2 linked regions of the Alligator mississippiensis genome follow. The protein of the gene in region 1 interacts with the protein of each later gene in a biochemical or structural test. Links are inferred from orthologs where the notes say so. Each region holds a gene or a part of one and is shown on either strand. Other genes may lie near its edges.

What was found. The genes of interacting proteins can lie anywhere in the genome.
Region 2: the proteins of CDK4 (region 1) and cyclin-dependent kinase 4 inhibitor B-like form a complex in vitro, tested with the Homo sapiens proteins (12 studies listed by BioGRID and IntAct, with this or other methods). The link is inferred for Alligator mississippiensis from reciprocal best matches to the Homo sapiens genes CDK4 and CDKN2A.

What each region holds. Positions count from the first base shown.
Region 1 is NC_081838.1:7,482,903-7,490,327, forward strand, and holds the start of CDK4 (cyclin-dependent kinase 4), read right to left. Parts: upstream 3,003-7,425; 5' UTR 2,972-3,002; coding exon 2,819-2,971; intron 2,659-2,818; coding exon 2,426-2,658; intron 2,294-2,425; coding exon 2,158-2,293; intron 2,067-2,157; coding exon 1,899-2,066; intron 1,409-1,898; coding exon 1,299-1,408; intron 803-1,298; coding exon 752-802; intron 598-751; coding exon 462-597; intron 249-461; coding exon 156-248; 3' UTR 1-155.
Region 2 is NC_081826.1:175,523,624-175,531,019, reverse strand, and holds the start of cyclin-dependent kinase 4 inhibitor B-like, read right to left. Parts: upstream 3,020-7,396; 5' UTR 2,928-3,019; coding exon 2,799-2,927; intron 1-2,798. UniProt on the Homo sapiens protein: Acts as a negative regulator of the proliferation of normal cells by interacting strongly with CDK4 and CDK6. This inhibits their ability to interact with cyclins D and to phosphorylate the retinoblastoma protein.

The sequences.
Region 1 (7,425 bases):
GGTGCCCCATGGTGAAGTGGGGGTAGGCACCGTCCATGGCATCGTCCAGCTGGCAGCACCTCTGTCCCAAACGCCCTCCAGCGGAGAGGGGGGTGGGGTCGGTGGGGCAGTGTCCTTGTGCACAAGTCCTCTGGGTGGTCTGGGGTGGAGGGGGGCTACCCCTCTCCTGCACTGGCATCCTGGAGGTACGAGTGCTGCAGGGCATCATAGGCCGAGATCCGCCTGTGGGGGCTGAAGGTCAGCAGCTCCTGGGGGAGGGGGGCAGAGAAGGAGGGGTTACATGGGGTGTGGAGACCCGCCCCGCACACAAGGCTGGGCTGGAAGCAGGATGGGGTTTCAGAGCAACAAAGGGTTAATGCATCAGCGAGGCCTTGCTTTTATCCACACCTTCAATGCCCCTCACTGCCCACCCAACCTGCAGCACCCTACAACCCATCCAGCGCCCCTCACTCCCAACCTACCAACAGCAGCTGGGCACCCAGGGCCTCTATCTCAGGCACGAAGGTCTTGACAGGCTGGGGGCCACGGGCCTTGAAGGCACCACGGGGCAGGGACACGTCTCGGGGCCAGTCGTCCTCCGCCGGGAGCCCAATCATGCTGTGGGATGGGAAGGGGGGACAGGGCACGTGAGTGGGCATCAGCTTTGGCAGGATCAGGGCCCCCCCGCCCACTCAGTACAGGAGTCCCGCCAGGCCCCACAGCCCCCAGGTGCTGCCAGCATGGATTCCCACACCCCCCACCCATGACTCACTCGAAGATCTTGCCCAGCTGGTCGGTCTCAGAGTTGCCACAGAAGAGAGGCCTGTGGAGGAGACAGGGCTGAGGTCAGAGGGGGCTGGGGGGGAGCCCTGCCCCCCATCTTCACCCTCTTCCTCTGCCCCCTGAGTGTGGCCGCACCAACCTTGGCACTGCTTCCCCTGCTGCAGGGAGCTGACCCGGTCCCGCCTCCCCCCCAGGCAGCTGCATGCACATGGACCACCCCCTTATCGCCCCTTCCCCTGCCCCTCCAGGGAAGGGGGAGCTGGCCCCTGCCCCTCCCTGCTTATCAGGCCCTGTCCGATAAGGCGCCCGGGGGTCGACCCTAGCTCGGCTCTAATCAATTGTCTCCCAGCCGCTGGGCCCCACCCTGCCCCTGCGCTCGATGCTGTACACAGTGGGATCCACCCAAGGGGGCTGGCAAAGACCCCTGCCCCCTACCCTTGGGGAAGAGGTGCTCACCCAGGCCCTACCATGCCCAGCGTGTCCCCACCACACTCTTGTGCCATCACGCACGTGTGCCGTCCCCCCACCCCACTCACTTGCGCCGGAACATCTCCGCGAAGATGCAGCCCACGCTCCACATGTCCACGGGGGTGGCATAGGTCGACTGCAGCAAGACCTCGGGCGCCCGGTACCACAGGGTCACCACCTGCGGGCGAGTGGGTGATACAGTCGCTTAGCCCCCCCACCCTCTCCCCATGGGCCGGGCTCCCCTGCATGGGGTGGGGGAGGGACAGAAGGCTCCAGCCAGGCAGGAAATGCCTTTGGGCTGAGTGTCCTTCCCCCATCGGTCACTTCCTCCCTCCACCCAGCCCAGACACTTCCTGGCTGGGAGAGGGGCTGGGCAGGGGGCTGCTTAGGTCATGGGAGTGGACCCCTGCCACCAGGGGAGTGCTGGGGGTGCAGAGAGCCCAGAAGACCCCTCCCCATCACCCCAGGCTCCCCTGCAAAGCAGAGGCCTTGCTAAGAGTCTACCCAGGCTCTCACTGTGCCCTGCTCCAGAGGTTGGGGGGGAGAGAGGTCTCAGATCCATCAGCAGAGACCAGCCCCCTCTTAACCCCCGCTAACCAGGGGCTGCTTCCACCTGCCAGGGCGGCCTGGATACCGGGGTGCCCCCAGAGCCCCCTCCCCCAGCTCACCACGGGTGTCAGGGCCATCTGGCAGCTGTAGATGCGGGCCAGCCCGAAGTCGGCCAGCTTCACCTGCCCGCCGCTGGTCACCAGGATGTTCTCGGGCTTCAGGTCGCGATGCACGATGCAGTTGGAGTGCAGGAAGTCCAGGCCCCGCAGGAATTGCCGCATCAGGTCCTGGCGGGGCAGGAGAGGAGCGTGAGCTCAAACAGCCTCTGGGTGGGTGGGTTTGGGGGGGGGAAGCAAGCTCAGGACCCCCCTGCCGTACCTTGATGGTGTCGGGGGGCAGCCCGGGGGCCGGGGCCTTGTCCAGGTAGGTTTTCAGGTCCTGGTCCACGTGCTCGAAGACCAGCGTCACCTTAGTCTCGCGCTCCGTGCGCATGGTGGCGCACACGTCCATCAGCCTGCGGGGGGGGGGGACAGGGTGAGCCAGGGGTCTCCAAGCCGGGGCAGCGGAGAGACGTGGGGGGCGGCAGCCACGGGGTGGAGCCCCCCGATCGTGGGGGAGCCACGGGACCAGGCGGCGCGGCGCTCACCGGATGATGTTGGGGTGGTCGAAGTGCTCGAGGCGCTTGAGCAGCGCCACCTCGCGCAGGGTGGAGGGCGGCAGCCCGTTCTCGGTGCTGGGCACCCGCACGTTCTTCAGCGCCACGAAGCGCCCGCTCTGCAGGTCCCGCGCCTTGTACACGGTGCCGTAGGCGCCCACGCCGATCTCGGCCACCGGCTCGTACTGCGCCCGCACCTCCTTGGCCATCCCGGCTCCCGGCCCCTGCAGGCAGAGCGGGGGTCACGGCCCGCGCCCCCGACCCTACAACAACACGGGCCCACGTGGCGGACCCCCGCCGGCCCCGCCCCAAGTGTGCGCGTGTCCCCGGGGCTCGCGCGTGCGCACGGGGGGCGGGGCGTGGCCAGGGCGGGGGGGGGCTCACCGGGGGCCACGCTGCGGTGGGGCCGGGCCGGACCGGGCGGGTGTCCGTGTCGGTGCGGGGGCCGGGGGGCGGGGCTGGAGGACCGGAACCAGCGAGACAGGGCGGCCGGAAGGACCGCGCAGACCCCCCCCGCTCCCCGCCCCCCGGACGCATGGGTTGGCGGGGGGGCGGGATTTGAACCCGGGGTTCTGGGGGTGCAGCTCAGCCCCCCCCCACAGTGTATGGGGGGGGCTCCTGCCTCACCTCCCCCACCCCCATATGGGGGGGCAGTGCTGGGGGGGGCAGTTCCACCCCAGAAGTGGCTGCATTTGCCCGGGGGTGGTGCCCCCCCTCCCCCCAGAGCCTGCAAGGGGGGGGGTCTCTCCTCCTGCCCCCCCTCCCCCCGGGCTGCCTGGACCCGCTGGGGGTGCCCTTAGTTCGTGGGGGGGGGGAGGGTTCAGATGCTACCGTAATGCGTGTAATACAGGGGCAGAGGAGTGCCGGGGAGGGGAGGGCAGGGCAGTGCCGGGGCAGCGCTCATTAGCCCCGGTGTCTGGCTCCTCCTCCCGGTGCGGGAGGCTCCGGCCGGAGGCGGCTCGGGGCTTTCAGCACCACGAACAGGGCCCGGCCCCTCGCCCGCCGCGCGCTGTCACGAGTTTGCCCCGCGTCGGGCCTCAGCTCTGTGCCCCGCTCTTCTCCCGGGGTAGGCGGCTGCCCGGGCCCGCGGGGACCAGCCCCACGGTGGGAAGGGCCCGGCTGGGCCCCTCCCTGCTCTGTGCCTCAGTTTCCCCGGCTCTTAAAGGCTTCCTGGCGCTGCGGTCCCGCAGAGACTGCCTCGTGTGCGCGTGTGCAGGTGTGAACACGGGGGCGCGCGCGTGATGTGCGGGTGTCTACGCGGGCGTGGGCATGCATGGGCACACGCGTATGTATGCAAGAGTGTACACGCACACAAATGCATGTAAGTGCATGAATGTACATGTGTGCGTGTGTGTAGGTGTGCTCGTGCCCATGCATATGTGTTTATGCATGCGATGCATGTATATGCGTGTGTCTATGCATGTGTTCACGTGTGAGTACTTGCGTAGGTGTGTACATGCCTATGCATGTATGTGTGTGCACATGTGCGCATGTGATGTATGTGTGTTTACACGTGATGCATGCGTACATGCCCATGTATATGTGTTCATGTGTGTGTGCAGGTGATGCATGTGTGCACCTGAGTATGTGTGCATGTATAACCGCATATGTGTGCAGGTATGTGCATTCCCATGTACTTACATGTGTTTATGTGTGTGCATGCATGCAATGCATGTGTGTACCTGCATGTGCATGCATGTATGTATGTGCCCATGCATGTGTGTACATGCCCACATATGTGTGTTTATGTGTGTGCACATGGGATGCGTGTGTGCACTTGTGTGTGTACATGTCTATGTGTGTGGGCATGTGTGCACATGTGATGCATGTGTGTTTACACATGCAATGCATGCATACATGCCCATGTATGTGTGTTCATGTGTGTGTGCAAGTGATCCATGTGTGCACCTAAGTGTGTGTGGATGCATACCTGCATATATGTGCAGGTATGTGCATGCCCATGTACGTATGTGTGTTTATGCATGCGCATACATGTGTGCACCTGCATGTGTGAGCATGTATGTATGTGTACATGCCCACATATATATGTGTTTGTGTGTGCACATGGGATGCATGTGTGCACTTGTGTATGTGTGTACATGCCTATGTATGTGTGTGTGCATGTGTGCACATGGGGTGCATGTGTGTTTACACATGCGATGCATGCGTACTGTTCACATGTGTGCAGGTGATGCATGGGTGCACCTGAGTATGTGTGCATGCGTACCTGCATATGTGCGCAGGTATGTGCATGCTCATGTACGTATGCGTGTTTATGCGTGTGCCTGCATGCGATGCATGTGTGTACCTCCGTATGTGTGCATGCCTATGTATCTTTGGTATCCAGGTTGCAGCCGTATTGGTCTAGAGGAAAAAGCAATCAGGATTCGTAGAGATGAGATCTTTTATTAGACCAACAAGATTTTTTGCAAAAAAATAAAAATAAAAATAATCTTTAATTGCAACCCTCATGCATGTCTGTGCATTTATGCGTGTGCACATTGCTGGACGCAGAGCTTGTCCAGACCTATGCAAAACTGAAACGACTAAATGACAATATCAGTGCCTTTTGCATGAGAATGTACACTCGTGATGGGGCCCACCCGAAACATTGCAATACAGTTCATCCCATCTCTGGCTTTGGTATCAAGTAGGCCCCATGCCCAACTACTCTAAACTGATTATGAATCAATTAAATTCCCCTTTCAAAGTGACTGCCTCTCCCTTGTTATCACCTTCCTCCCCAGTCTAGGTGTCTGCCAACTGGAAAAGATTGTGGGATCTGCCCTGTTATAACAATGACCTATACCCTGGCTTAGGATTCAGGGCCTAAGGTGCTCAATTCAAGTAATCAAGCCCCACCTCAGTTAATCAAGTAGTAAACCACTGGTTTTGGGTGTTGGGCTTTGAGCAATCAAGCTATACTATAGTTAAGCAAATGCTAAACCTCCAGAGCGATCAAGGGTCTTTGTGCATGTCAGTTGGTTGGTCCAGCGATGGATCCAAAAGGTTGCCGGTTACAACACAACCCAAGGACAATCCCCCGCCACCTTGTCAGCTTCAACCCATCAAAAAAATCTGTTTCGAAGCCATACAATTCAACAGTATAAGAACTAAACGTTTGCCAGCAAGGCGTGTGCAGTCCAGGGGAGACCCAGAAGGCATCCTGCCACCCAGCCAGCAAGTGAAGGATCCCTGCTGGGAGGCTGCACAAGAGCTGCTTCCTGCCCGCATTGGGTAAAGACCTCTGTGAAGCTAAGATAATACTAGGACGAATTGCTCGTTTTATATCCCAGAAAAGTCTTTGTTCTGTGATTTAGTGCTGTAGCTTGTTGGAACAAGCCTCCCTGCTATCCAGCAACCCAGTGGTGTGTCAATTCATAAAGTGCTGGGTTCAAAATTCAGTTTCTAAGTGCAGCGATGTGATGCACGTGTGTACCTGCATATGTCTGCGTGCACATGCCCGTGCATGTATGTGTATGCACGTGTGCACCGGTCATGCATGTGTTCACACATGCAATGAATGTACATGTGCCCATGCACGTGTGTTCCTGCGCATGCACACGTGATGCATGCGTGCACCTGCATGTGTGTACATGCCCATGTATGTTTGTGCATGTGTGCACCTGTGATGCATGTGTGTTCCTGCATGTGACACATACATGCACCAGTAGTGCATATGTGTTTCCGCATGCAATGGTGTACAGACCCATGTTTGTGTGTTCCTGTGTGTGTGCACATGTGATGCATGTGTGCACCTGCATGTGTGCGCATGCCCATGCACATTTGTGCGCAGATGATGCAGGTGTGCACCTGAGTATGTGTGCCTGTGTGCATGCACGTATGTGTGTGTAGGTGTGTGCCTTTGTGCATGCGCACATGTGCATGTGTGCATGCATTGTGTGTGTGTGTACACCAATCTGTACACCCATCTCCTTTTCTTTGCCCTCTGACCCCAGGGCTTTCCAGGGCCTGCTGGGAAGCTCCAAGGGGAAGGCCGGGTGGTGGGAAATGGGAATGTCCTCTGCCACTAACTCCTTGTGTGCCCTTGGTCATGTCACTTAGCCCACCCGAACCTCGGTGCCCACGGAGACGGGATGGAAGTGTGGATTACTATCAGGATCTACTCAAAGGGGCTCTCTCATGTCTTGTACCCATGTCCCAGCCCCGCCAGCCTACAGAAATGGCCAGGCCTGGCTTGAGGCCTGGTCCAGACCCTGCTGGAGCTTCACAGCTCAGCTGCCCCATTACACCCCCTGGGAGCTCAGGATAGGGCCCCGATCTGGGAGATTTTGCAGCAGGGGCGTCTGACAGGGGTGGCCCGGGAGCGGCGAGTCCCACGTGCAGGATGGGGGGCTGGACCAGAACCTGCAACCCCCCACTGGGACCTTGCAGTCTGTGCGTCTCTGCCCGGGAGGGGGAGCAGCCTCTGTGTGGACAGGCCACGAATCAGCCTCCACAACCTCCCCAAGCATCACTCAGGGCCCCTTGCTCTGCCTGTTCTGCTGCTCTGCTTTCTGCTCCCTGTCCCATCCATCACTCTGCTATCTACTCCCTGCCTTGTGCTCCCAGGCCCATCTGCCGCTCTGCTTTCTGCTCACTGCCTTGTGCTCCCTGGCCCATCTGCTGCTGTGCTATCTACTCGCTGCACCATGCTCCCTGCTCCACTTGCTGCCCTGCATTCTCCTCCCTACCCCATCTGCCACTCTGCTTTCTGCTCCCTGCCTTGTGCTCCCTGGCCAATCAACCACTCTGCTTTCTGCTCCCTGTCCTGTGCTCCCTGTTCCATCCACCGCTCTGCTTTCTGCTCCCTGTCCCATTTGCTGCCCTGCATTCTCCTCCCCACCCCATCTGCCACTCTTGCTTTCTGCTCCCTGCTTAATCCACTGCTCTGCTTTCTGTCCCCATGCTGTCCACGCCCTCCTGAGCTTGCCAGGTACCACTCGTGGCACACCTGCCCTGCCCCCCCCCCCCCCAGCAGCCTTTGCTCA
Region 2 (7,396 bases), on another chromosome or scaffold:
TCCTTCGCTATGCCGACCGTTTCCTTTGTTAACTGAGGAGGGAACGAGAACCAGATCATGTGCTCCCTTTAAAACCAGTCAGACTTTCCTCGCCCCCGAAAAAAGGGGGGCAAGGAGAAGAAATCAAATCCTGGGGCAATCCTCCGCCGATATGAAATTTCCTAACTCCGGTTGCTTTGAAGATATTTTCCCCCGGTGAGCAGCACATTTTAAAATATTTTTTAAATTTAAATTTCTTTAATTTTAATGAATTAATTAGTTGCAATTTTTTATTTTTAATAATTTATTTTTTTAGAATTGTATTATACACTATATTAAATATATGTATATAAATATAACACTGATATGTGCAGTTGTTGGACAATAATAGGGACCAATAATATATATATTAGAATATATATATATAATATGTATATGATTAGTCCCTATTATTGTCCAGTATCTGCAAATATCAATGTTATATAGTGTATAGTACAATTCTAAAAATATTACTGATTATATAATAATATTATTTAAAATTATGATATATTATTGGTCCCTTATTATTGTCCAGCCTCTGCAAATACCAATGTTTTAGTACAAGGGGACATTTTTTCCTGTAAGTTTAGTAGACAGTAGGCCCCCAGCCCTGCAGTACGTAAGCTAGATCTGTTTTCGCTAGTGCCCGCATGGGAAACTTCTTGGGCTAAACGAAATGGAGATCGCCTATTGAGAAAGGATTGCTCACTATCCACGGGATTATCGTCTCTGACAATGGGTAATCGTTGTGACCCTGTCAGGGCAGTCCCTATTGGGGGTGGGGGGGAGGCGAATCGGGGCGACTGCCCGGGGCCCCACGCCTTGGTGGGGCCCGTGGACAGTGCAGTACAGGCCCTGCCGCGGCCGCCACGCACCGCCGGCTCTACCACCGCCGAGCATTGCTGACTCCTGCAGTTCGCCACTCCCTGCCCCGCACATCCTTAGGGACTGCTCTGGACCCTGTCGCTATCATTTGTGTACTGCGCTCGAGCTCAGAATCTATCTCGTTCAGCCTGGGCATTAGTCCTTTCAGCGACTCATGGAAATAGGCTTTTGTAAACAGAAGCGTGTGTAATAAATACATAATAATATAAACTATACTAAATTAAATCGATATTGTTAGACTTCTATTATTGTCGGGTATATGCAAGTATCAGTGTTTTAGTGCAAAGGGTATAGGTTGTAGTCATCCATGCTGGTCTAAGGACATAGGGTGAAGAGTTGGAGAAATTCTTCTTTCTCTGGCTTGCAACAGAAAAATTTCTCCAACTATTTTAATTGGTCTAATAAAAAATATCAGATTTACCCAAAGATCCCTGTCTGCCTTAGTGCAAAGGGGACTAATTTTTTTTTCTCAGTTAGGTAGCCAAATAATTAAATAGTATAAGGTCGTTAATAAAAGGAATCCAGGAAAAAGTGTTTTTGTTCTGTTTTGGTTTGTTTTTTGGGGGGGTATAAGTCGAGACAGCATACACTTCTATTTTTTATTTTGAGGAAGAATCCATTTTCTTAACTGGCTGCCTCACACTTGCTATTTGAAACAAATAGAACTGTACTAATATTGCAATTTCTTTATATGATTTGATTTACATAACTTTTAACATGCACAAATCCCCATTTTAAACAAAATAATGTATTTGACACTTAATGCTGCCTTAAATACCTTGAAACCTAAACTTTTTTGTAACTACATTCTGAGAGAGAGAAAATTTGAATACAGGTAATGGAATATTATCTTTAAATATTCATTTAAAAGGTACATATAAATAACATGGACATTTTGCATGCCTTTTTTTCTGGGCAGGTTACATTTTAAATGGCTAAAACTCTTTGTAAAAGCTTACCTGCATGGCAGCTATTTTGTGTGCCAACCTTTTTATTAATTAAATGGCAGTAGCTTCTCTTCCCAATCTCAAATACAGGTTGAGAGAAAACTATAGGGTGGATCTAAAATCTGAACCTACTTGGAAATGGACTCTCTCTCTCTCCCCCCACATGTGTTTTTTTATTACTTTCCTTTCCAAGAGTAATAAAGAGAAAAGAACGATGCATCTTGTCTGTAGGCTACCAAAATTATTCCAGAGTCAGTGGCTGATTTATGCCCAGTTCAGCCTGGTGTTTTGACACTGGGTTGGGGATTGAAAACAAAAAGAAACAACCCCCTCCCCTCCCCTCCCCCCAAAAAAACAACCAACCCCCCCCAAAACAAAAAACCCCAACAACTAGAGGCACCACGTTTTTCTCTGCAATCACTCTTTGTGCACCAAGACAATCTAATTACTTAATTCCTTGAATTTTTACAGCTTTGTTTTTCAAACCTTCTGCTCTCTATATCTCTGCCCTCTTACCCGGGCGCCGTTTCTAGAGAACAGTAATGCAGCCTTGCACGCCAGTGTTATCAAGAGGATTGAAAACAAACGAAAACTAAAAAACACCAGCAACAAAAGTGTCCCCCCCGCAAAAAAAAAAAAAAAAAAAAAAAAAAAAATCCACCAAGGGAAGAAGAGAAGAGAAATGGAAGACACGGGGCCCCGGGACCAGGGGAACGCACATGCCCCTTCCAGCTGCCTGCGCAAGCAGCCGGAACTCCCCCCTTCCCCCACTCTCCTGGGGGACCAGACGGATTAGGATTTGCTAAACCCGGGGTGGGGTCCCCTCTTCAACCCAGATTTCTCTCCGACGTCTCCCCGCGATTGATTCACCCCCCAGTCCCAGCGCTGTGAAACCCAGGTGCAGTTAGCCGGCTCCCCCGCGCTCAGCCGCCCCCGCGGGGAGGCTACCTGCAGCGCCGTGCGGCCGAAGCTGTTCTGGGCGTCGGGGGCCGCGCCCGCCTCCAGCAGCGCCTGTACTGCCGCGCAGTCCCCCCGCGCCGCGGCGCTGGCCAGCTGGTCGCCCGGGCTCGCCGCCATGTGCCGCCAGCCGGCAGCCCCCACGCCCCCTCTCTGCTGCTGCCGCAGCCTGTAAGCTCGTAGCCCTTCCGTTTCCACCGGCCGCCCTCAGTCCCGCGGGAAAGGGGCGGGATCTTCCCCTGCTCCCGTGCTCAGCCCCCCCAGCCCCGCCACCCCGCGTCGGCTCGAGGGCGCGCACGGCCCTGAGGGCTGCAGCCGCTGGGTGGAGGTGCGCTGCCACCAGCCCCGGCGCAAGCGCCTGCCTGGCCATCCGGAGCGCGCAGCGTGGGCGCGGGCTGCCTCGCGGGGACGGGGGATAGGGCAGGAGGTGTAGGCTGAGCAGCGCTGGGTACCAGGCCCGCGACCATACTACCAGCTTTCCTTCGGCCCCAGGAAAAGTGTCTTGGGCCCCTGCTGAACACGCCAAGAGCAAAGGCTGGCCGCCACTGCGCCCTTGCCTATGGCAAACCCTGCCCAGGCGCCTCATCTCAACGCCAGCTCGGGGGGATGGGAGATGCCACTCAGCTGTCGGGCCCGCGATTCACGAAGGACGTGGATCTCTTGGAAAAAGCCCAGCAGAGAGACAACAGTGGTTCGGGGCCAGGGGGGCAAGGCTTCTGAGAAAAGCTTGAAGGAGCTAGGGTTCTTGATTCCGCAGAAGAGAAGAGCGGGGGGAGGGGCGATTTGAGAACAGTCTCCAAATACCTGAAGGGCCTTACAGAGAAGATGGGGAGGGATTTTTCCCTCTGGCTCTAGCTGTAGGGGACTGCACTAGGAGCAATGGCCTCAAACTGCAGCATGGGAGATTTAGGATGGATAGTAGGAAAACCTTTGGGACTCTGAGGGTGGTCAGGCATTGGAATAGACTACTTAGAGAACTTGTGGAATCTCCTTGCTTGGAAACTATTAAGAGTAGGTTGGACTGACACTTAGGAGGGATGGTTTAGTCGGGACTGGACAGACACCTTGCTGGGATCATTTGAACTCAGCACTATTCCTGTCCACAGCAGGGGGTTGGACTCGATGATCTTTAGGTCCTGTCCAAGCCTTAATTTTTATGATATGATTCTATGATATGATATGACCAAGCCTGCCTTGTGATCCCTTCCAGCCCTACTTTCTTAATATGTTTTAATACTCTAGTACCGAGCATCTCCCAACATTACCATTAAAATAAGCACCATTATAGGTGGGATCCTGAGATTCCCCTTCTGGGCTGGTCTGAACAGAGCTGTACAGTGTCCGAGTAGATAACCTCTGGAAGTCTTCTTTCCTTTCTCTCTCTCTCTCCCCCCCCCCCCCAACTTTTTTGATTCAGGCAACTATATAAAGCAAAATCGGAAACAAAGAGGAACATGCAGGAATTCGAATGAGGTTGAAGCTGTAACATCATTACAAAAGAAATAATACAAAACAATTCCTATAAATTATCACTACTATCAATATCGTGGTGTGTGTGTGTATGTGTGTGTGTGTGTGTGTGTGTGTGCGTATGTGTGTGGTCATTAATTAATTTTCAAAGAATCTGACTAGAGACTAGCTTACTGGGTGGTAATTTTTTGCCCTCAGCAATAGAAATAGATCAGTATAGGTTGGAAATAGAACCCATATTTTGAAATATCTATTCCTTCTTTGTCTTAGGCTGGTAATCTAATTTGATATGACAGTTTGTCCAACAACAACACATCCTATATTTTAGGTTAGCACATTATGGGGGAGAGGAAGAGGGGATGGTTCCTTCCACATATAAGCCATCTGTAATCTAGCTAACGACTTTTACTGGGGCATTCAAATGACAAACCAGTGGATTCAAAGAATTATTACCACCCACCTCACTAGTAACTTCCCCCTTCCACCCTCCCCCCCAGAATATTTGTACATTTGGACACAACCATAACATATGGAAAAAGGGACCTCTTTCTCTTTAGTTTCTCCAACATGATGCATCACCATTAGAAAATATGTGTTGGATTCTAGTTGGAGATAGGTCTCATCTTTGGAGTATTTTATAAAAGGCTTTTTTTTTTTCCTTTGGAAAGCATATATGGAAAATGAACACCTCTGTCCCCAAATTTCTCTTCAGTGCTCTAGCTCAGTTTCTTTCCTCAGGTCTCTTTCACAAGCCTTCATTTGTTTAGTCTTCCTAGCCATCCCTTTCTCTATTAAAATTGCATATATAAGATTAACTCTTTTTTTCTTGAGTCCACAATATGTCAGTTGCTCAAAGGGAGTATGCTTTTCTATTTATTTTTTAAATAAAATTCCTAATGTGAGGATACTGAAAAAAGGACTCATTTCCATTAGGGTTATCACAGATTCCTTTATTTTATAAGATCTCATAGCCTCCTCCCAAAAGCATTTGCCTAACTGGAGAATACCCACCCTGACCCAAACTGAGGGTATGTTTATACCAGATGCCTTAATGTACCCTGAACTGTTCTACTGTGCATTAGCACATTGCAGCAAAAACTAATATGCAGTAGAATTAGTCTGCTGTGCATTGAGCATCACAAAAAAAATGCCTTTGCTACCCTGCATTAGTGCTGCTACTGTGCCTTTATCTAGTACCTCATATTAGAGGTACTAAACTTAATGCAGTAGGAAAGGCACATTAATGAATATATAGACATGCTAAGAATTGCATTTTTGATCAGTTCTAGGGAGGAATTCTTTGGACAGTTAATGGGGAGGAGTGTGGGGAAAGCAACTTTTCACACACCAATGTATATCTTTCAACTGGGCTGCATGATAATATGCCATTATGGTGGGCACTGCAAGATCTTCCATTTTAGAAGGCCTGTGTATAACTGATGTGCTTACGCTTGGCCTCTTACTTTTACAGGCAAAATTCAGGAGAAAAGTTTGTGAAGCCTTTAATGTACTCCTTGGCATACATATAGTTAAGCTTTACAACAGTAAAGGAATTTTTGGGATATATATTTATTTTAAAAGTGGTTATTCTGTTTCTCCAAGAAATATCCATCCCCCATCCCCCTCCATTTTCTGAGGGGTTTTGTTATTTTAGACCAGACTGGCAAATAATTGGTGATAAAAAGTTTCTTGTGCTTTACTGTAAAGTTAATACCCAGGCATCTTATTGAATTTTAACCCAATTAAATGCATATAGTTTTTCATATATACATTTATATAAGCTTAAGTTTCTCAGAAATACCATGATCTAACATTTCTGATTCTTCATAATTATTTTTTTATCCATAAAAAGAGACAAACTTACATGCCTGGAATACTATTGCTTTTAAGGAAAAAAGAGGGTTTTTTACAAAAAGGAGTGCATCATCTGCATACAGAGCTCTATTAAGTTTCATCCCTGTGTCCTAAAAAGCCTCTAACACATGGTCACCTGTTAAGGAAAAAAACTTCTTGCCTAGGTTTCAAAAGAAAGTTTTTAAGAAGTTCAAACTTTGGTTCACATGCAGTTCAGGCAGGCAAAGAAAAGTAAAAAAAATCCATGTTCACCTTGAAATTTTTATTCTATTACCTGGCCAATTTCAGAAGCTTATTAAAGAAGGCTAGTGAATACAGAAATATGGTTGATAGGTTATATTCTAATTCAGCGGTTTTCAACCTATTTGCCATAGTGGGCCACACATGCAGCTTTCAACATGTTATATGGGCTACACCCCACAGCTAAGGGGGCCCCCAGCTGCCAGGGCTACAGAAACCAGGGCCACGGCCTGTAGCCCCCTATCCCGCCCCCCCATCAGCACCCAAGCCCCGGAGGCCTCCCATGGGAGGTGGTGGTTGCTGTGGCCAGAGTGGAGCATGCAGTTCAGCTCTCTGCCACTCCCCCCCTCCCCCACTGTGGGCAGCACAACTGAAATGAAGCCCATTGCGGGGAGAGGGGAGGGAGATATGACCTGCCTATTGTGGGCTCAGGGCTTCTGCAGCTCAGTGGGTGGGCCCTGGAGGGGAGGCTCAGTGCCATGGCTGGGAACAGCATGCTGGCCTTGCCACCATGGTGAGGCAACCCTGCCCACCTGGCAGCAGCAGCAGCAGCATGGAGTTGTGTCCCCCAGCTGTTGCTAGGTAGGCAGGGGGTGGCTTGCCATGGTGGTGTCGCCAACATGGGGCTCCCTGAAGTGGCATTGAGCTTCCCCACCCCACTCTGCTGCGGAGGCCCCTGGGAGAGGGCAGCAGGGTAGGGAGCCCCAAGCCTGCAGCTGGCAGTTCACATCTACCCCACCCCTGCACACAAATCCAGGGGGCATGTGCCCCCCCCTTCCTCTCTTCCTGGGATTATGCGCAGCAGCAGGGAGCCCCCCCCCCTACCCCTCACTGGGCCCTGTGGCTGCACATTTCTATCTTGGTCCTGGACCCCATGTACCACTTCAGCTGGGCAGTGACCACAGCCCATCCCAGCCCTGTCCTGCCCTGTCTTACTTTAATCCCTCTCTCCCTCCCTCACTGTGGGGGCCTCAGTTCCTCCCCCTCCCCCCCACTTCCCTGCATAGACTTACCGGGAGGGAGCT